Zea mays: one gene and its partners. The protein of the gene in region 1 interacts with the protein of each later gene in a pairwise test. Links are inferred from orthologs where the notes say so. Each region holds a gene or a part of one and is shown in the gene's direction. Other genes may lie near its edges.

Evidence for each region.
Region 2: the proteins of Probable 3-hydroxyisobutyrate dehydrogenase-like 1, mitochondrial (region 1) and AT-rich element binding factor 3 interact in binary tests that used the Arabidopsis thaliana proteins (3 or more experiments, as listed by UniProt). The link is inferred for Zea mays from reciprocal best matches to the Arabidopsis thaliana genes AT4G29120 and PYL6.
Region 3: the proteins of Probable 3-hydroxyisobutyrate dehydrogenase-like 1, mitochondrial (region 1) and uncharacterized LOC100272864 interact in binary tests that used the Arabidopsis thaliana proteins (3 or more experiments, as listed by UniProt). The link is inferred for Zea mays from reciprocal best matches to the Arabidopsis thaliana genes AT4G29120 and RCAR3.

The regions. Positions count from the first base shown.
Region 1 is NC_050098.1:204,470,746-204,474,314, forward strand, and holds Probable 3-hydroxyisobutyrate dehydrogenase-like 1, mitochondrial, read left to right. Parts: upstream 1-1,550; 5' UTR 1,551-1,609; coding exon 1,610-2,644; 3' UTR 2,645-2,872; downstream 2,873-3,569.
Region 2 is NC_050103.1:176,436,177-176,440,596, reverse strand, and holds the start of AT-rich element binding factor 3, read left to right. Parts: upstream 1-1,417; 5' UTR 1,418-1,501; coding exon 1,502-1,508; intron 1,509-4,420. UniProt on the Arabidopsis thaliana protein: Receptor for abscisic acid (ABA) required for ABA-mediated responses such as stomatal closure and germination inhibition.
Region 3 is NC_050099.1:232,111,019-232,115,326, reverse strand, and holds uncharacterized LOC100272864, read left to right. Parts: upstream 1-1,305; 5' UTR 1,306-1,423; coding exon 1,424-1,645; intron 1,646-3,072; coding exon 3,073-3,426; 3' UTR 3,427-3,841; coding exon of another isoform or gene 3,842-4,057; 3' UTR 4,058-4,292; downstream 4,293-4,308. UniProt on the Arabidopsis thaliana protein: Receptor for abscisic acid (ABA) required for ABA-mediated responses such as stomatal closure and germination inhibition.

The DNA.
Region 1 (3,569 bases):
AATTTCTATTTTTTCAATAGAAAATGAACTAATTTTATTTAGGAAAATAAAAATTATGTGGGAAAATAGGGTTCCAAATTAGCATAACGAAGAATTCACCAGAATAAGGTCCATTGTTATCTCTAGTCAGAGTGTCAGGTGCAGCCGTGCAGGTGCCAGGAAGCCCGCGGGTGCTTGGACCGGCCCGCATCGGCTGACCGAGACGCGAGACCGACGACCCGCTCTTGCGGACTGCGGACTCACCGAATCCCTTCCGTACCTCCCAACGGGGTTTCGCTTGTTTTGATCACAGCCTATGGGCTTGTGGTCGCTGACTCGCCGCCATCCCATGGCCATGTGGACACCAAAACCAACAACCGGACGAGGCTTTTGCCTTCGACTTTCCGTGGATGATCTGGAACAAGTAAGGCCGTCGTTTTCTTGTCTATCTGTTTTCTTGCTGCCGGTCTGCCTCTGTTTTTCAATTTTTCTCTGGACCGAACACACACAGTCCATGCGGCCATATCCGAACACACACAGTACTAGGAACAATTTTTTTATGTTGAGAAATTAGCTGGGAACATGTCATGCACAAATTTACTGCAAAAGTTGCGTATAGTTTTTTTTATTCTGAACAAAAGAGTTATGTGTATAAGTTACCTTATTTGTGGAAATTATGATATAAAAGCCATGCTAGAAGTAGTGATGGACGAAATTCATGGCTTCTCGGCTCGCTTGATTTATAGTCAGCTCGGTTTAGTTTGGATCGGCTCGTTTGATTTTTTTTCACGAGCTGAGCTAACATCCTAGCTCGGTTCGTTAACCTCGGTTTGTTAACGAGACAGCTCGCGAGCTAAAAGAGCTATCATATTTTAGTTAAACGAGCTACCATGGATATGAGGCCTGCCAACAAATAACAAAATCGTTTGAACCAAATCAGACTATACCAGCCACAAATAGTCATGGCAAAATGAACAGATCTGAATTAACAAATCGGTGCCACACTACCATCCCAGGATCACAACAGACCCACTTCTTTATAGACTCTAAGGTGCAAACTAACTGGTTGACACGAAAATGAAGTGGAGAATCGAGTAATCTAGGACATCCGGAGTAAACCAAGACTGCACCTTACCTCCACAGATCGGATAGACCAATTAGGTACAGAACAGTCAGGCACCAGTAAACCCGAATCGACCTAAATTACCTCGAGTGTCCATAGAAACCTCGAATTCGAAACACAAGACACTTCAAGGCATCTGATTCAATCCAATCAACACAAGATACCATGAGAAGGAACCAAAACGGTTTGAAGTAAAATAGAAATACCGATCAGCTAGCTGTAGCTCTAGCAAGCAGAGAAGAGCGGGAGAGGACTGCCGAGTTTGGTTGATGCAGATTGGCGATGGGCTACCATACGGCCCATGGATATAAAGCCCACTGGCTCCTTTTCAAGAGAGTGACCGATAGAAGCTAGAAAGGCTGGTTCAAAAAAAAAAGGAAAATGAGTGTACTCAGTACTCACCACCTCACGCCGCCTTATCTGCTACTGCGACGCGCCAGAAGAGGGCATTTGCGACAATTCACCTGCATACAGGGGCAGCATATCTAGCAGCTACTCCGCCCCCAAATGCTCGCCGGCATATCCCGTTTCCTCACTCGCCGCCGCCGCCCGCCCTTTCCGCTTGCCGCTACCGCCGCTGCAGCAGCCATGTCGTCGTCGTCGTCCACGGCAGCGAACATCTCCGAGCGTCCGATCTCTCCGGACACCACCCGCGTGGCCTGGGTGGGGACGGGCGTCATGGGCCAGTCAATGGCCGGCCACCTCCTCGCCGCCGGCTACGCTCTCACCGTATTCAACCGGACGGCATCCAAGACCCAGGGCCTCGTCTCCCGCGGCGCCAGCCTCGCGGACAGCCCGCGCGCGGCCGCCGCGGCTGCCGATGTCATCTTCCTCATGGTCGGCTTCCCCTCCGACGTCCGCTCCACCGCCCTCGATCCATCCACAGGCGCCCTCTCTGGCCTCACCCCAGGCGGTATCCTAGTCGACATGACCACCTCCGACCCCACCCTCGCCGCCGAGATAGCCGCGGCCGCGGCCGCCGCCGGCTGCTCGGCCGTCGACGCCCCCGTCTCCGGCGGTGACCGAGGGGCCCGCAACGCCACCCTCTCCATCTTCGCTGGCGGCGACGCCGCCGTCGTTGCTCGCCTGGCGCCGCTCTTCAAGCTCATGGGAAACGCGCTGTACATGGGCGGGCCCGGCGCGGGGCAGCGCGCGAAGCTGGGCAACCAGATCGCCATCGCATCCACCATGGTAGGGCTCGTGGAGGGCATGGTGTACGCGCACAAGGCCGGGCTGGACGTGGCCAAGTGGCTGGAGGCCATCTCCACCGGCGCAGCCGGGTCCAAGTCGCTGGAACTGTATGGGAAGCGGATCCTGGAGAGGGATATGGCGGCTGGCTTCTATGTCCGGCACTTCGTCAAGGACCTCGGTATCTGCCTGTTGGAATGCCAGGCCATGGGGCTGTCGCTGCCGGGGCTCGCCCTCGCGCAACAGCTGTACGTGTCGCTGATCGCGCACGGCGAGGGCGGGCTCGGTACACAGGCGCTTATACTGGCCGTCGAGCGGCTGAACAACACCAGCCTCGAGAAGAAGGACGAATGAAAGGCCCCAGGCTCTAGCTTTGATGAACTTGTGGGAAGCTTTGCTTGGTGCCTTGGTGCAAGTATGCAAGATCGAGGTGACTGTTAAGTTGTCTTTCAGAGTTCTACAGTTGTTCACTTTTGTAGTAGTATATATGTTATGCACTTGTGCAAAAAATTGTGCTGGCTTGGATGATTGCTTAGCTCTACCTGTTTACATCCGCCACCGGTTCAAATAAGATTTTACAAACAATGTGGCATTCCTTGCATAGTTGTATTGGTTTAGCTATGGTGGTTGACATAACAGATTTAGACATATATATACTCTATAATCTATATTCAGCATAGTTATTACAGAAACTTTTCATGGTACTCTGAACTCACCCTGGAATCCTTGATATAGAGTTTACTGAAACCTTGTTTTACGAGTACCTCGATAGTTTTTATGAGTACTCAAAGATTGAACCTTCCTCTGTCCTGTCCTGTCCTTACCAGTGATCTGAACCTTCTATCGATGATTGATCATCACGTGAGCTAAAGCATATCTAGCAAAAATTACTTGAGAATTCAAGTCCGATGAACTTGAACATCTGCAAAATTCAATTAAAAGAGTCCAAGTCAGATAATTTGCAATGTTTGGCCAGAGCCAGTTTGGCTCTCCTGGGTCCGCGGTGAAAACCTCAGCTTGCGCATGCAAACCTTGCCCGTTTCGGTGAGCCAATTTGTCTCACCTTGGTCAGTGAGGGAAAACTCAGTTGCACAAAAACTGAACAAGGCAAGGAGTCCAAACACATTTTTATCTTTCGTTTCTTGCTGGCGAGGCAAGCTGAGGTGCACACGGCCTGACAAAATGCTATCGCCTTCCAGTCTGACCAAAATTACTCTATGGCTGTAGTTCCGTCAATTGCTTGATTGCCTTGACTGACAACAATTCAGCGACTCCCATT
Region 2 (4,420 bases), on another chromosome or scaffold:
GGGTGCTAGCCCGAGTCCGAGCCCTGGGGTCGGGCGGAGCGGAGTTCGTCGTCTTCCGGGTCTTAGCCCGAGTCCGAGCCCTGGGGTCGGGCGGAGCGGAGTTCGCCGTCTTCCGGGTCTTAGCCCGAGTCCGAGCCCTGGGGTCGGGCGGAGCGGAGTTCGCCGTCTTCCGGGTCTTAGCCCGAGTCCGAGCCCTGGGGTCAGGCGGAGCGGAGTTCGCCGTCTTCCGGGTCTTAGCCCGAGTCCGAGCCCTGGGGTCGGGCGGAGCGGAGTTCGCCGTCTTCCGGGTCTTAGCCCGAGTCCGAGCCCTGGGGTCGGGCGGAGCGGAGTTCGCCGTGGCGCCTTTGGCAAGGCCTGACTGCGTGTCAGACTCACTCTGTCGAGTGGCACTGCAGTCGGAGTGGCGCAGGCGGTGCTGTCCTTCTGTCAGACTGGCCAGTGGAGCAGTGGAGTGACGGCGGTCACTTCGGCTCTGCCGGGGGCGCGTGTCAGGATAGAGATGTCAGGCCGCCTTTGCGTTAAATGCCCCTGCAATTTGGTCAGTCGGTGCGGCGATTTAGTCGAGGTTGCTTCTGAGCGAAGCCAAGGCCTCGGGCAAGCCGGTGATGTGTCCGCCATAAAAAGGGGGCCTCGGGCGAGACAGAAGTCTCTCGAGGTCGGTTGCCTTTGGCCGAGGCTAGGCTCGGGTGAAGCGTGATCGAGTCACTCGTGTGGACTGATCCCTGACTTAATCGTACCCATCAGGCCTTTGCAGCTTTATGCTGATGGGGGTTACCAGCTGAGAATTAGGCGTCTTGAGGGTACCCCTAATTATGGTCCCCGACAAAACTAGGATAGTTATAAGTGACCCAATTATTCCTCTTCCCCTCTTCCTCCCTCCCTCTCTCTATCTCTCCCTCTCTTGGGTAACATGGATACCACATATTCCCTAAAATCATATTTAAGGTTTTAAACTTAAATGTGGTAATTGTTTCTACAAATGGTATTTAGTTTCATGTTTTGTTGTGTTTAGTAAATTGTAGAAGAACCAACATTAACTAGATTTTTTTCTACTATTGTGAAGGTCCCATAGAGTGGAATCAGTTTTTTAGAGAGACCATAGGCAGGGATAACTATCAAGCAACATGGAACAACTTGTTAATTTAAAGCCCAATAAAGCTTCATCCTTTGGTGGTCCCAATAAAAGGTGTGTGGTGGGTAGTGCCGCCCACGCGGATATGCTAATAACCCTCCTTGTACTCCAGAACCTGCCTTTCCACACATAATGAGCATACCTACAAGCCATATTCCCATCCACATTCATCCCCCAACACCCACTCGTCCACCCACCGTTTTCCTTGTCTTCACTTTCCTCACGCAATTCACCCACCCCCTCACCATTTCCCCCATCGACCATTGCTGCCACATACCAAACCCACTTCCTGTGGTCTTCGGTGTCTTCCCCGCCGCCGCCGCTGCCGTCGCCGTCGTGCATCACACTGTCCCTCTTGCTGTGATATCTATGAGAGGTATGGGACTATTGACACCCTTCAAATCGTATTGCTAGTAAATTCTTTGACAAGGATGTTGACTGCCAACTGTCACTTCTACCTCACCACCTATCTTGATGTTGCTATGATTGGGGACCATACCCCTAACCTCAATAGCCATCAGATCTATCTCCCCTATCCACCCAAAATCTAAAGCCACTACATCTAATCCCAAAACCTAACCACACTTGAGTGCTACATGTCAAGGATCACATTTTTTATAGAAAACAAGTGCCCTCTTATTTAACCTTTACCCCTATTTTTATGTACTGCATTTTGTTTTTTCTTATTTTTCTACAATTTTTATGGAATAGTGCTATGGTTGAAATTACAAATACTTGAATTAAGTACAATTTATATAGACATCTTATAATGGGACGTTGGACTACATTGTTACCACACACATCCATATGTTTCCAGTTTTTAGAATTTGAAGGGGCACCCCTGGTCCATTAAATTACTTATCATGACCAAGAAATGGTTCTAGTAAAGCATTATAGTTCAAACTTTCAAAAGAATCTCCCTCTAGTAGTATAGAATGATTACAAAGATATCAGATCATGACATTGTGCTAGAGGCCATAATTGCAGGTTAGCCAATCTTTCTTCTATTATGTATTGTGTTAGTGCTGACCAAGCTCCCAAACATGTCTTTGGTCATGGTCCATTCATTAGGAGTCATCCATGCCATCTTGCGAGTTCCTCTATTCTAGAGATGGCCTTGTATTGTTGCATGTGTCCCAAGGGGCACAATTGCTCCAACAGTTTGAATATAGATCACCATAGTTACTGCAAAGAGCTTAATTTCTTGCATAGAAAGAATTGAGTTATTTGAATTTCCACAAGCTTCATCTTATAAAAGAGCATAACATGTTCCTAACTGTGATTTTCTCTCTCTCATACATCCAGGTTCTTTCAATGGATACATACCCTTAAATAGAGCATATACTAGTTCATCTCTTCCTTATTAAAATAGATAATGGGATCAATTTGGATGACATCCTCCTAATTTATAACAAGATACTCTCTTGACATACCTTAAAAGTACATCTAAGTCTAGACCCATTCCACAACTCCACAATAGTAGCAATCTGCCCATGCATTAGTACAAAAGTAAGGGTCCCAAAAACTTATACCAAGGTTAGATGAGTCTAGCCAATAATTGTCTTCCCAAAATCTCATCCTTTTCCATTTCCAATCTTCTATTTGTACCCTATTTTAGCTACCTAGACATCCAAACAAAACCCTTCCAAAAGATGATAGTTGTTAGTATCTTTACATGTAAGGCATTAGGGATTGTAGTACTATATTTGAGGTCTATGATTTGTTTCCATAGTTGGTCATCTCCAAATCGTACCTTTTTACCCAAGAAGCTAATGGAATAATATTACGATGTCTCAAGTCAGGGACACCAAGCTGACCATACTCTTTTCTAAGATAAATAGTCATCCAGTTAACAAGATGGTAAACCCCATGACCTTCAAATTCAAACTACAACTAGTGATCCATGTAGGAATTGATAAGCTAAATTGTCCACTTGAGAAACTTGATGAAAGATCAAAGGTACATGGACCAGTATGCTAAGCATGTTTTCATCAAAATCAATCTCCTGCTATATGTGAGAGAAGTCACCTACCTCTCCACCTTGCAACCTTTTAATAATTTTGACATCAATTGGATGTATATATTCTCTCCGCCTCCATTTGCTTCTATTTTCACAGTCAATATTACTCATCAGATGGTGTAGTATGATATAAGCACCACAATCAAGACAATAGTATATATGGTGCTCTAAAGGCATTGTTTTTATCTTACTAGATGCATATGTAGTTATCAATCATTTATCTACCTAGCCATGTGATTAAATACCTCATGTATGCATAAAACATTATGCACTCATGAATATATTTTAAGCTCATATTTCATTAATATGTCACACATGGTAGTCATTGCTAGCTCCAAGTTGAAAACATTTCTCCTATTATTTTGATTAAATAGGAGGACATGGGCTACTAAAAATTATTTAAAAAACTAGAGCATAAAAGTGCATAGTTCAAGACACAAAAAAGTCAAAATGAAAACCTAAGGAATTACAAAAAGGCTTGTAGCCATAAATCGATACTTGGATTATAACGTGTTTTTGCTCTAAGAATAACTAGAGCAAACTCTTTCCTGAAAACTACCTTGCACTTTGGAATTGAAAGCACAATATTGTTGAAAATGTTGTCATTACGCATTATCCAAAATGGCCCAACACATCTCGATTAGAATCTCCATGAAGAAAGAAAGATGAAGTTGATCTCTAACACTTCCAAATAACCACTATTAGGGAGTATAAATAGATTCAGAGAAGACAAACAATCCAAAGCAAAAGGGTAGTCCAACATAAGGTGAAAAAGATCCACTTCAACATCTAGTGAGCAAATGATGCAATTGCAACAATCTAAATGCATGTTTTTATATTTAAGAAGCGCTATATTACTCAACTAATTTTTTAGAATAAGGCAAAAGAAGATTTTTTTTATTTTTTCAAGCAAACTTCCATGACCGCTTGAAGGCTTGATGAATGTGTTGATATCATATAAGCAATTTATAAACTGTTCTTGAGGAGAAAATTTGTGATCCCCAAATGTATCTCCAAATCATTGTCTATTTGTAGATGTACTATAAGGAGGGTAGTGGAGAAAACTTGAAATTATTTGTATACCTCAATAGATAGAGGTAAATAAGAGTGTAGTAAAGGAGTAGAAGTTGCCCCATGAAGAGAAATATTCCAATCTTTACAAAAATAGTAGAGTTCTAGAAAAGAGTGACTCCAATCATTGTCATCCCACATATCAAAGAAAAAACAAAATGCACTATCCTTTGAAGAGACAATTACTATTCCTTTAA
Region 3 (4,308 bases), on another chromosome or scaffold:
TCACCGCTACATCCATCATAGTTTGATGCGACATATTGAGTACCTCATCTTCGGTCATCTCAACATCGAGCCACATCGAGCCCGAGGAAGACATGGCAAGGGTGGTTTGGTCAAGTGAAAGGAGAGTGAGAGGACTGATATACAGAGTGATAGAAGAGAAATAGAGAGTGGGGAGTGTGAATGAACCAAACATCCCTTCATTTATAGACCACATTCCATATATTTTTTTTTAAAAAATTGTATTTCAAACTCTTTAAAAAAGACTAGCTGATGTAACACATGTGGACTAATCAAAACGTCCAACATCGCTAAAGACGGCTGGTATTGACCGAACCAACAAATCATAATCGCTCTCGTATCTCCAACCGATCGACTATCCATGAGACCAATCGGTACTCGGCGCTAGCACAACGAGGTTGGTACTGACCGATCGACGTAACCAACCAACACCAGCAATCGATAAAATCGCGCAGTTAGAACCAACCTTCATAGCAACTTGCTAAACTATTATCCCTTCTAAGAGCAACTCCCGTTGTTCTTTAAAAGACTTACTAAATCAATAATTTAGGTAGTCAACATAAGAACTCATCTCCAACATTTCTTTAAATAAACTTACTTAATTTAGCAACTTCTCATCTAGCCTCATTTTCTCTCTACATTTGGCAACTATTTAGCAACTCCGTAAAAAAATGTTGACTGCATTATATAGATAATGAATGTAATTGATGATATTTGTGACTTATTTTTATATGGATAGATACAAAACAAAACTATAAATATAAAACTATTGGTGAACTTACACTTTTTAACTCCCAAAGTTATTTAACAACTTCTTAAATATGTGATTTATAAAGCTAAAATTTAGATAATTATTATTGGAGTTGCTCGTACATTGCTCTCCGATAGCTTAACAACACCATTATGCGACGTGCATGGGGCCTTGTTTTAGAAAAAAAACATGTCTACACCTATCTCCAAACCAAAAAAAAGGCAACGAGATAATGCCGTCCGCCATGGGGCCATCCGGCCATCCATGTTTTCACGAGCAAACCGAAGCAAAAGTGGCGAACTCGGAGGGCATATCTGGCATTCCTAATTCTAGTAGGCCCTTGCTTGTAAGCGGCACCCAATAGCATAACAACCACACCTGAGGCTGCGGCCTTTGTGCCATCCAGGGGTCGTCGTCGTCACTCTCTCCCTCTCGCCCTCGCCATCGCCATCGCCCTCGCGGTCTCGCCGCGGCATAAACAAAACAAGCAAAGCAAGGCAAAGGCAAAGGCAAAACCCCACCTCCTCGCTCCGCACCTCGTCGTCTGCTTTTCCTCGGTGCGGAACACAAGCCCCTGCCGCCTCCATTACCGGGCTGTGCCTGTGCGAGGCTGCGAGCGTGGTGGCTGTGTCTGGCTTTGCGGCGGCGGCGGTGATGGTGGTGGAGATGGACGGAGGCGTGGGAGTAGCAGCAGCAGGAGGAGGAGGAGCGCAGACGCCGGCGCCGCCGCCGCCGCGGCGGTGGCGCTTGGCGGACGAGCGGTGCGACCTGCGCGCCATGGAGACGGACTACGTGCGGCGGTTCCACCGGCACGAGCCCCGCGACCACCAGTGCTCCTCCGCCGTCGCCAAGCACATCAAGGCGCCTGTCCACCTTGTGAGCGCCTGCCTCTCTCTCTCAATCTCTTCCTTCCATTCCACGCCGCTGAATCAGATATATCAATCCCTCGCCTACTGCCTGCTCTGCTATGCTTTTTCTCCGCGCCGCCGTGCCGTTTCCACGTTTCCATGGCGAGAGTATGTAGGGTGTTGTGTCGCGCTCGCGCAGTCGATCCGCCGCCGAGACATCGTTTCGATCGGTTTCTCGATTTCTCCTTTTGTCTGGCCGGGTCCCGCCGCCCGGCGCCCCCGGTTTTGGAGTGCCGATGCGCGGCTCCTTGATTAGGAAACAAGGATGCCCGATTTGGATGCCGTCTTGAACTTGAACCGGCCCTGCTCTGCTTCTGCTTGCTCGTCTCTCCCGTCGTCATCCTTTCTCTCTTTTCACGCGATTGGTCGGGCGGATCCATTGCTGGGAGGACCCACGTCGCTTTAGCCGAAATCTAAGATTTGCATTTCCTGCCAAGAAACCGCCTGTGAATTTTTTTCTGAGCTCTCGCGAGATGAACATGAGAGATGCATGATTGGTTGCAAAGGCAAATGATACACACAGAAAAGCCTCGACGATTTTTAATTCGCCGTTCTGTAGTACTGTAACCTCGTCTCACCGTGGGTGGGAAGATGCTTCCCCCCCACCCGCACCTCGCGAGATGCCCGCTCGCTGAATCTGCTTTCCGCCAGATTAATTACTTTGAGATTTCTATCTAGCTGCTCATGCATTGTTTTGCTGGCCTGTATCCCCCGCGTTATTAGGCTTTGAAGTGTTGCCGCTTTATTCTGCAAGTAATCTAGTAATCGAGACGGTCAGACGGCGGTGGTGGTGGTGGGAGGGAGGGAGATACGCTTCACTTCACTTGGACTCCACTCCTTTTGGACGTGGTTCAGCTTCAGCACAAGATCAGATGCAAAACTAGTAATCTTACCCAAAAAAAACACATTAGCTTTTGCATAATTATGCGATGCGATGCACTGAATTGATTACTGTTTCAGAGGGAACCATCGTTTCTGGCTGACTTTCCAGCCCAAGTTTTCAGCATATTCCAAAAGGATGCTTGTGAATATGCTTAGCAACCTCAAGGGCTCTAGGCCTCATTTTATAACTGTGTACTGTGCCTCTGATTAGAAGAGATGTCATATTCCTCAAGCGTGTTTAGTTGACTTGTAGACAGTACACCGTTCATGCCATTTTTCCTGTTACAATTCCTGGCGATGGTTCAGCTGAGCCTGGTCGAGCTGTGCAGTTAGCCGGTCGGTTAGGGTGTTTATGCAGAACACTTAATACTACTTGAATAGCAAGCAACCGGGGACCTGTTTATTCCTTCGTCTGTTACATTGAAAGTGTGGATTAATCAATCTTGGTCACCTGCTTAAAGCTTAACCATACATTGAAGTGCCTGATGATCGAGTAATTGTCTTGTCTCTCAGGTCTGGTCCCTGGTGAGGCGGTTCGACCAGCCACAGCTCTTCAAGCCCTTCGTGAGCCGGTGTGAGATGAAGGGGAACATCGAGATCGGTAGCGTCAGGGAGGTCAACGTCAAGTCCGGGCTGCCGGCCACAAGAAGCACGGAGAGGCTCGAGCTGTTAGACGACGACGAGCGCATTCTCAGCGTCAGGTTCGTTGGAGGCGATCACAGGCTGCAGGTATGCTCTGTTCTTCATCTATCTATATTCTGTGCTGCCCATGCGAGATATTTTGCCCACCACCTCAAATGCGTCCTGGAGTTCCTCTGCCAGATGCATCTTGATGTGCTGCCCTGCGACGATGCCATCCTCGAGTGATAGCCCCCCAACAAACTCTTGTCGTCTATCTAACCAGAAAACAAGCAGCGGTTGTTGTTGTTGTTATGTACCGGGTGATGTTTGCATGCTCTCAACTCCAAGCATGGCACTGACTTGCCATCCTTTGACCTTACATGCCAAGTTCATCGCATGAGCACCTGTCACTCGCTGTCGCTTGTCGTGCTCCGTCCGTTTGCCCTCACTCGTCATCAGCCAGCGATAGCAACAAGTGGCCCATGGTCACAACTCACATGCGTTGCACCTGGATAATGGACGATGGACGCCACCTGGATATAAGTTTATCCGGCCCTGACCCCCTTGGGTTGGTTGCAAGAACGCCAGCGTGTGTGAAAGCTGACGACTAGTCTAATTCATCGATCTGCTGCATCTCACCTTCCTTTTCCTTTGCCCGCAGAACTACTCCTCCATCCTCACCGTCCACCCGGAGGTCATCGACGGCCGGCCAGGGACGCTCGTCATCGAGTCCTTCGTCGTCGACGTCCCCGACGGCAACACCAAGGACGAGACCTGCTACTTCGTGGAGGCGCTGCTCAAGTGCAACCTCCGGTCACTCGCGGAGGTGTCCGAGGGCCAGGTCATCATGGACCAGACGGAGCCCCTTGACCGGTGAATAATGAGTCGGACCATTATATTGCATTGCATTCTGTGTACGCGTAGACCTGTTCTCCAATGCATGGAGCCCCTAGGTTCTTGGAAAACTGCTATGCCGCGTTCAAAGTCAAGTTCTTTTTCCCCCTCCTTGCGATTGTGTTTTTCTGTTCTTCTCCGGCGTTGTATGTCGCGGAGGGAGAAGTGCAGAGTATGATGTGCTTGATGAAAATTGAAAGAAAAAAAAAAGAATTTAGAACTGTGAGGCCCTGG